Bombyx mori: one gene and its partner. The protein of the gene in region 1 purifies or fractionates together with the protein of each later gene. This does not show direct contact. Links are inferred from orthologs where the notes say so. Each region holds a gene or a part of one and is shown on either strand. Other genes may lie near its edges. The genes, in order: WD repeat-containing protein 19 and intraflagellar transport protein 122 homolog.

What was found.
Region 2: the proteins of WD repeat-containing protein 19 (region 1) and intraflagellar transport protein 122 homolog purify together in Homo sapiens (affinity purification with mass spectrometry; 4 studies listed by BioGRID and IntAct, counting the BioPlex papers as one, with this or other methods). This does not show direct contact. The link is inferred for Bombyx mori from reciprocal best matches to the Homo sapiens genes WDR19 and IFT122.

The regions. Positions count from the first base shown.
Region 1 is NC_085119.1:3,216,704-3,220,532, forward strand, and holds part of WD repeat-containing protein 19, read right to left. Parts: intron 2,770-3,829; coding exon 2,545-2,769; intron 2,107-2,544; coding exon 1,896-2,106; intron 1,711-1,895; coding exon 1,430-1,710; intron 554-1,429; coding exon 294-553; intron 1-293. UniProt on the Homo sapiens protein: As component of the IFT complex A (IFT-A), a complex required for retrograde ciliary transport and entry into cilia of G protein-coupled receptors (GPCRs), it is involved in cilia function and/or assembly.
Region 2 is NC_085107.1:13,135,178-13,139,458, forward strand, and holds the start of intraflagellar transport protein 122 homolog, read right to left. Parts: upstream 2,806-4,281; 5' UTR 2,722-2,805; intron 2,624-2,721; 5' UTR 2,580-2,623; coding exon 2,518-2,579; intron 2,279-2,517; coding exon 2,048-2,278; intron 1,804-2,047; coding exon 1,593-1,803; intron 1,280-1,592; coding exon 1,132-1,279; intron 1-1,131. UniProt on the Homo sapiens protein: As a component of the IFT complex A (IFT-A), a complex required for retrograde ciliary transport and entry into cilia of G protein-coupled receptors (GPCRs), it is required in ciliogenesis and ciliary protein trafficking.

The DNA of each region.
Region 1 (3,829 bases):
CCAGATGGGCTGTGAGCTCGACCACCGATCTAAGAAAAAAAAAAAAAAAAAAAAAAAAAAAACGATAGAGACCAGTCGATATAAAATAGTAATACTAAACTACGTACCATAAAATAGCACAAAATCGACCCAAACTCAAATACTAAATATTCATTCGGTAGCATTAGCATCGTCTATAAACTCTAGTAGGTATCGCCTAGAATTAGGAGGATCGTATACGAATGAGAAAAATAGTCCAAAGATTAACTCAATTTAGTTAAGCAAATTAATATTAAGCTCACCAATCAACTTACATTTATTAATAGGTTCGGGGGCATCCTCGACCCCGATGCACTGGTAAACCGTGACTTCAGTGAGACTGGTCAGAGTGAGAGCTCTGGTTCCGTATGTAGCGTACAGGGGGGGTAGCGTGGTCACGTAAACGTTCAGGTACCCTCGCCCGGAAGTCGCTAGTAACCTTCCGTCGGAGCTCCACCCGCAACGCTCGGCTCCCCCCGTCGGCATCACCGATCCACTCACCTCACCATTATTCCAAACTGAGATCAACTTTAACCTGAACAGTAAAGCATTCATTATTACTGGTGGTAGGACCTCTTGTGAATCCGCACGGGTAGGTACCACCACCCTGCTTATTTCTGCCGCGAAGCAGTAATGCGTTTCGGTTTGAAGGGTGGGGCAGCCGTTGTAACTATACTGAGGTCTAAGAACTTATATCTCAAGGTGGGTGGCGCATTTACATTGTAGATATCCATGGGCTCCAGTAACCACTTAACACCAGGTGGGCTGTGAGCTAGTCCAGCCATCTAAGCAACAAATAAAAAATTTAAAAAAAATTGACAGCAAGAGATGCTACGAATGTACAACTCGACCAAGCTAAGTTTGCTTTTTTTTTTTCCTACCTAAGCTTGTAGTCTTGAGAGGCTATTCCAGCGTAACCTTAATTAGCAGGTGAGCTCACGGGGCTCAAACCTGACGACGTTGCTAACACGAACCCTAGCAAGAGCCGTGCTTCGCAGAATCTACCAACGGATCGGAAACGCGACCCACTGAGAAGATCCGGCGAGAAACTCAGTGGGCTGTGTCTGAGGGTTAATTTACTCGTCGAGCCCTTCGTCGCAAGCGACGGGTTCGACGAGAACGGTGACCGGTGCTTGAAGTACCTAAAAGCACCGTTAGTGGATCGGATAATATAACTAAACTTCAACAAAAAACCTAACAAGAACAGTAAAAAAAAATTAAATTGTTTTTTTACTGTTCAAATTCAACGGATAGGGAGACGAAAACTCGTATGTCGCGTGTCGGCGACAAAGATGCTAACCGTACTGACGCGACAGGACGATCGCGGGACGCGGGCGGCGCGCCGCATTCCAGCGAGGTGCAAACTTAGCTTGGTCCAGTTGTACACATATAACTATGAATTAATACGCACTGTCCATCCCCACACGAAGCGGCCTGCCCGTTACACACCGCTATGTCGGTCAAACTATCTTTATGGTTCTTGACCTGAAACAATTCTTCGCCGACCTCTTTGATGTGTGTCGATATTGATATGATGAATCCAGCACTGAACCCTATAAGAATGTAACCATCGCCATACCATTTGTACGAAACTATGGAACCATAACGTTGTTGGAATGCTAACTCTATTGGGTTGTCGGGATTCAAAAGATTGTAAAGATATAATGTGCGTTTCCCAACAATAAGGCTTACCTGAAAGAAAAAAATACTGTTTATGTTAAAAAAACAAAAATGCACATAATAAAACGCGATTAAGACAAGACAATAGCAAATTTAATACGATAAGGTTGATTTTAAACAAAACTCATGATTTTGGCTTTATTGTTTCTTCTTTATTTTCATGGATTTCAAACACCACAATAGCACCAAAAACTTACTGTATTTTCCCCTGCAACTCGTTCATCTGTCTTCATCTCAGAAACTTGCAAATCATTAGGAGTATCCCTTAGTGATATTATCCTGAGTGTGTCTCCATCTGAATTATTTATGGACAATGTCTTATCTTCTGAAGCAAGTATAAGTATGTTGTCTTTATTCCATACAGCACAACATATCTTTTTACTGTGTTTCCCTATTATTGGAATTCTCCTGGAATAGAATTTAATAATTACTGGTGGTTGGACGTCTTCTGAGTCCGTGCAGGTACCTACCACCAACTTATCTATTTTTGTCATGAAGCAGTAATGCATTTCGATTAGAACTCATGTCTCAAGGTTGGTGGTGGCATTCACTTTATTAATGTATGGGCCCCGGATGACAACTTAGTATCAGGTGGGCCATGAACTCGTACTCCCATCGAAACAGCAAAAAAAATTTAAATGTTAGATTAGCAACTCTAAAATGAATTATATCTTTACTGCTTTCACCTAACGCATGATTTAAGATTATAAAAAAGATAGATCATACAATAGAAATAGAAGGTATGGAAAGTTTTCCGCGTGAGCAGTAACTGCTGCTTGTGAATTGGAATTAGCTATTAATTTTCAAAGTCTACATCAATCAATAAAAGCGATGATTCTTACTCACTTTGTGGTATGATGATTATAAAGGGCTAAATTCCCTTTATGTGTACCAACTGCTAGTAAAGGTTCTTCGTAAGCCCAAGCAAGACACGAAGGTGGTTCACGCAGGCCCGTCTCAATGTTCAACCGTTTATTAGCATGGCATTCCCAAAGTAAAACTGCATTACTATTAGGTGTAATAATGGCTAGATAATCTCCATCGTTGTCCCATTCCATATCTGCACATAGTCTGGAAGTTTATAACTTAACCATAAATTATTTGTGTGATTTAAGTGTACATAAATAAAAAATGAAATGCGCATTGAATAACATTTTATTTTATTTTTATTTTTTTATTACTTAGATGGCTGAACGAGCTCATAGTCCAACTGGTTTTAAGTGGTTACCGGAACCCATAGACGTTTACAACGTAAATGCCGCCACCCACGTTGTGATATGAGTTCTAAGGTCTAAGTATAGTTATAATTAGAGAACACTTGCATCAATCAGGATTTTTTATTATTATTATTGCTGAGGTGGGTGGACGAACTCACGGCCCACCTGGTGTTAAGTGGTTACCGGAATCCATAGACTCTACCACGTAAGAGACAATCTACAACGTAATGCCAACACCCACCTTGAGATATGAATTCTAAGGTCTCAGTATACCTAGGCGGCACTGAAAATTTCGGGAATTAACGAAGTGACACAACATTACTATTTAAAAATGTATTTATTGCTTTTCGAAGTATTCTCCGCGAAATTTGACACATTTTTCCATACGATGGAACCAATCATTGAAGCAACCATTCCATTCGGAAGTTGGGGTCTCCAAAATGGCCGTTTTGTAAGCGTCCACAGCTTCTTCAGGTGATGAAAATCTCTGTCCACGCAATTTATTCTTTATTTTAGGGAAAGTATAGAAATCATTAGGGCTTAGGTCGGGGCTGTACGGCGGATGGTCTAATAATTCTATGTTTTCTTGCTCTAAAAACTCTTTTGTTCTGTGCGCGGTGTGAGAACTCGCATTGTCGTGATGGAGGATGATGCGGCGGTTGCAGTTCTCTTTACGGAGTTCAGAAACGACCTGTGGCAAACAAATGCTAGCATACCATTCTGCATTAACCGTTCTTTGTCCCTCAACAGGAATAGTCGTAACATGGCCAGTTTTGGAGACAAACGTGGCCACCATTTTTTTTTGCAACACTCCGTGAAGGAACAATTTTTGTTGGCTTTAACTCATTTTCGAACACCCAAACTCGTGACTGGTTTTTTGTTTCGGGTTCGTACGCGTATATCCAGGATTCGTC
Region 2 (4,281 bases), on another chromosome or scaffold:
ATTGGGGGGAATAGGGACGCTTTTCAATTCCAACACAAATTTTCAGAGCGTTTATCTTAGGGTAATTAATCCCAATAAAATTGAAATTAAAATGGTTGCGGAGGTTAAAATTTTCATATAAAATACATTAACATAGTTCATTAAAAAATATACATTAAACTTAAAAAACTAGCTTGACCTGATCCACCTCGGCTTTTGGGGTGAATCAGGGCATGTATGGGGACAATAGAGTTTTCGATAGGGCTGGTACTGTTTAGTTGTTAGATAGATTCTTACCTTTAGGTATTTAACTTTTCAATATCTATAATCAGTTACAAATGACTATGACCAAATTAAGCTATGTAATATTCTTAAGCACTAAATAAAAGTTATTTTCAATTCAACAAATTTAAATCTCAAAAAGGCATTGTGACAACCCAGATTTGTCCCTATTCTACCCAATACCGTCTTTACCATAAGGGCACACGGGGCCCGTGCCCAGGGCCCCCATTCTCAGGGGGCCCCGAAAGACCGACAGTTTCTCTCACACGTTTATTCTCAAAACATTTTTTCGGGCACATTACACTTTTTTCACAAATCACTATAATAGAAGATTTTGCTCAACAGAAATCCCGAAAGAAACCGTTATCGAAATTGTAACCAAAAAACCAGCAGCATTCTAATATCATTAATAACATATTATATCATACTGTATTTGATTACCTATAATAAATGGTCATACTCAGTAAAAAAATGTTATTATAATTCGCTTTTTTTACTTTCCAAAAGGGCCTCAAATTCTTGTGTGCCCAAGGGCCCCATCCTAGTTTAAGACATCCCTGATTCTACCCCTAGTTCCTATTCCCCCCAATCTACGGTACTAGTTTAAATGTGGCATCTGATGAAGTCTATAAAAAATTACAATTTCTATTTCTATTGATTAAACTAGTTTGTTTACCATTTTTATTGTTTTAAATACAATAGTTAATTTTCATTCTTAAGCCAGATCACATATGAATCATTGATACGAGTCATAAAACCAATGGGTAAAAGTAATGACAAGGGCATAGCTGAGGATTGCCTGATGGTCGGGATCCTTTTTTAATTTCATTTTATATTAATGACATTTTGAGGTGTAAATATGCATATTACCAATATTTCTTTCTTTTAGTGTTTGCTGACCCTGTATTGTATAAAAAGAAAGTGTTTCATTCCAATCAGTGACAAGTAAAGTCATTTTTGAGAAGGCAACCGCCCAAACTGCAGCTTCTCTCAGAATTCGTTGTATTTCATTGCCTACCTAAAAAAAATATTGGTTTAGCAAAAATAAAACACATAAAATTATAAAAGCTATTAAAAACACTAAGAAACTAGGACAATAGTACATTGAATCTACAGTTAGAAATCTCAACAGCTACCAGTTGTACTAAAAATCATTGAGTAATTGCTACAATGCATATTTCAATGAAGTAATTTAAAAAAAAAAATTATAGGAAGAATTATTAAGAGCTATATTTTTCAGAAGTAAATTTAAATACAAGGTAAGTGTGCTTAATTCAACATATTTTATAGACTTTAATAAAATCAAAATAGTGAACAAATAGATTACTTACTTTATCCCTAAAAGTTACAGCACCACTTGCTAAACCAATTACCAGATATTGCCCATTTGGTGACCAAGCACAACTTGTTATTCTCCCAGAAACTTTATGTTTCTGAACAGCTTTTATGTCCATTGACCAGAAAGCAAAATCAGAAATGGCACATGAGGCCAAATGAAATGTTACAGGGTTGTAGGCGAGACACTGTATTGCTTCACTGTGTCTAAAAGAGAGAAAAAAAAAACAAAAAAAACTCTTTGAAGGACACAATATAGCAACAAAAAATAATCATGATCAATAAAATACATTGTGCTTGAATAATATTCAGAACACTTTTATCTACAATGAGATGAAACAAAAATTTACAACTATCCCATGTTTCAATATCTGGAAATTTCATTACCCCGAATCACTGCAAATTCTTAACTAAACATTACTCATCTGCCAAGTAAATATAATCAACTAACGAATATTTCAATATGCCTTCCATTTTTGATGTCCAAATAATAACATTCCTGTCAGCACTACCACTTGCAAATTTCTTGCCATCTCCACAATAAGCTACAGCATGAACTGCCCCTTTATGGGCCTGCAGCAGTTGTAGAAGAGATCCATCCCTAGGATCATAAACCATAACCTTCTCTCCAGCTCCAACTACCAGCTGGCTTCCATCTGGACTGAAGCATAATGTGTGGACACTGAAATAATTAATTCCAACTGTAAAACTCGTTCACAAATAATGCTTTCCGAGCCTATTGAGTAAATCATGAGTCAATCATGAGTATAGTCATATCATGTTGATTGCGACTTCTGTTGAGTTCAAGATGTTAACTTTAATGTAATAATTATGTTTTTGTGTGTATTAATTGTTTATATTAGGTTTATCAATTAATGATTTTTATTTATTTTAAAGTCAAAGTTGTTACACGATTCATACCTAGAAAACTCAATTTTGTCAGCTTCGTGAATTTTATTTACCCATTTTGGTAACGTTCTCATTTTTGTTTATCGGTGGTAAACTACAATGTGAAAAAATTGTAATCCTAAAAACAAAATTTCTACTTAATTTAAGCTCGGTTTAGGTACTTTATTTTTTGAAACTGTATAGAATGAGTCTTATACTTTTATAAATGTACCGTACCGTACGTAGCCGTAGTGATACGTACATACAAACAAAGTTGTATTTAGATTACATAAAATTGTTTATTATTTAAAAGATTTTTTTGTCTCCATAGGACACTAGATAGGCAAAGGAAACATAGGTTATTACTTCAAATATTTGTTACAAAAGATTTTCATATAAATGATTAGTAAATGGAGCGAAATTAATTAAAATAAAACAACACCGTATTTTTTGTAGTAGTTAGATTTACTAAGGATTCAATGGACTTTTGTTGTAGTTTGAATATGTAAGTAATGGCAGGCAACACTTAACACTTATAAGGTTACAGTTTTCGAATATTGGAACGCTTAAGTATTTAAATATTTAAAACAGATGATTGTCTTCTCTTCAGTGAAGACAATGACTTCTCATCTAGACACGGACAGTGCAACATCTTAGGGTTTTATAAAAATAAAATATTGTAATGGTGTAATAGTGCACAAAGTGTTTGCCTATATAAATTATACTAACCATGAAGCAGAGTTGTTTTTAAATAGCCCCTCACCTCCAGAACCCAATCGCCTCAACTTTAAACGTCCAACAACTTTCTAGGAAAATCGAAAAAATTTCATTAGTATTGAAAGTTTTTAAGAAATATATACCCAATATGAAAGTTACCGATTAGTTTCGGTTGAGGTCTGTTTTAGGAAATTAACATCGCGGTATGTACAATATTTTAAAGAAAAAAGATTTACTTAACAAATGTAATAACGGAAATAATAAAAGTATTTTATTATATCCATGAGAAAAATTCTATTTTTTGTTGCGGACTATCTGTCTGAAGTTTGAAGTAATTTGGTGCAAGTTATTCACGTTAAATCCTGGAGATGTTCATCAGTAAGTCGTGATCGAAATTTGTTCTTGTTGAAGTGCATCTACGAAAATGTTATTTCGCCAATATATGTTGATCCAAGCAAAGTAAGAAGTTGCAAAGCTATTTTTTTTCTGAATATTTATCACCACACACAAATTTTATGCAGAACTCTGCACTAGACACTTCCATACCCTGTAGTGGAAGTTGCTCTGTCCGGATGCGGACCGTGGTCCGCCATTTGGCGAACCCTGGTATATATTCTTATTTTATAACAGAAATGACAACCTGTGCTATTTCTTAACCAATAGTGGCACTAACAGAATAGTGCGCAAGCAAACAATAAAATTTTAAACTAATACCAAGGGACAAGCTGAACGACTTTGAAAAATCATAAGATTACTAGAGATCGTAAGGCACGAACGTTCGGGAAAATTCAACAGCGTTTCGGCAGTCACTTATCTCAATATCGAGAAAGCCATCGACGATGTCTGGCCCATGGGACGGGTCTACAAGTTGTAAAGGGAAACGGCTCTGCAACATGCCTATGTAGTAGTAGTCGCACGCCGTCGTACCTGGAGGGCAGAATCGTTCTTATCGTGGAATCTTAGCGCGTGAGAAGTAGACGTAAAATTAACGCTGATGCCAACAAAATAACTTATTTCCCATCATCCTTATTTCCCCTAGCGGTCATTTCAATGATACCGAGGCTATTGAAAGTTTTACCT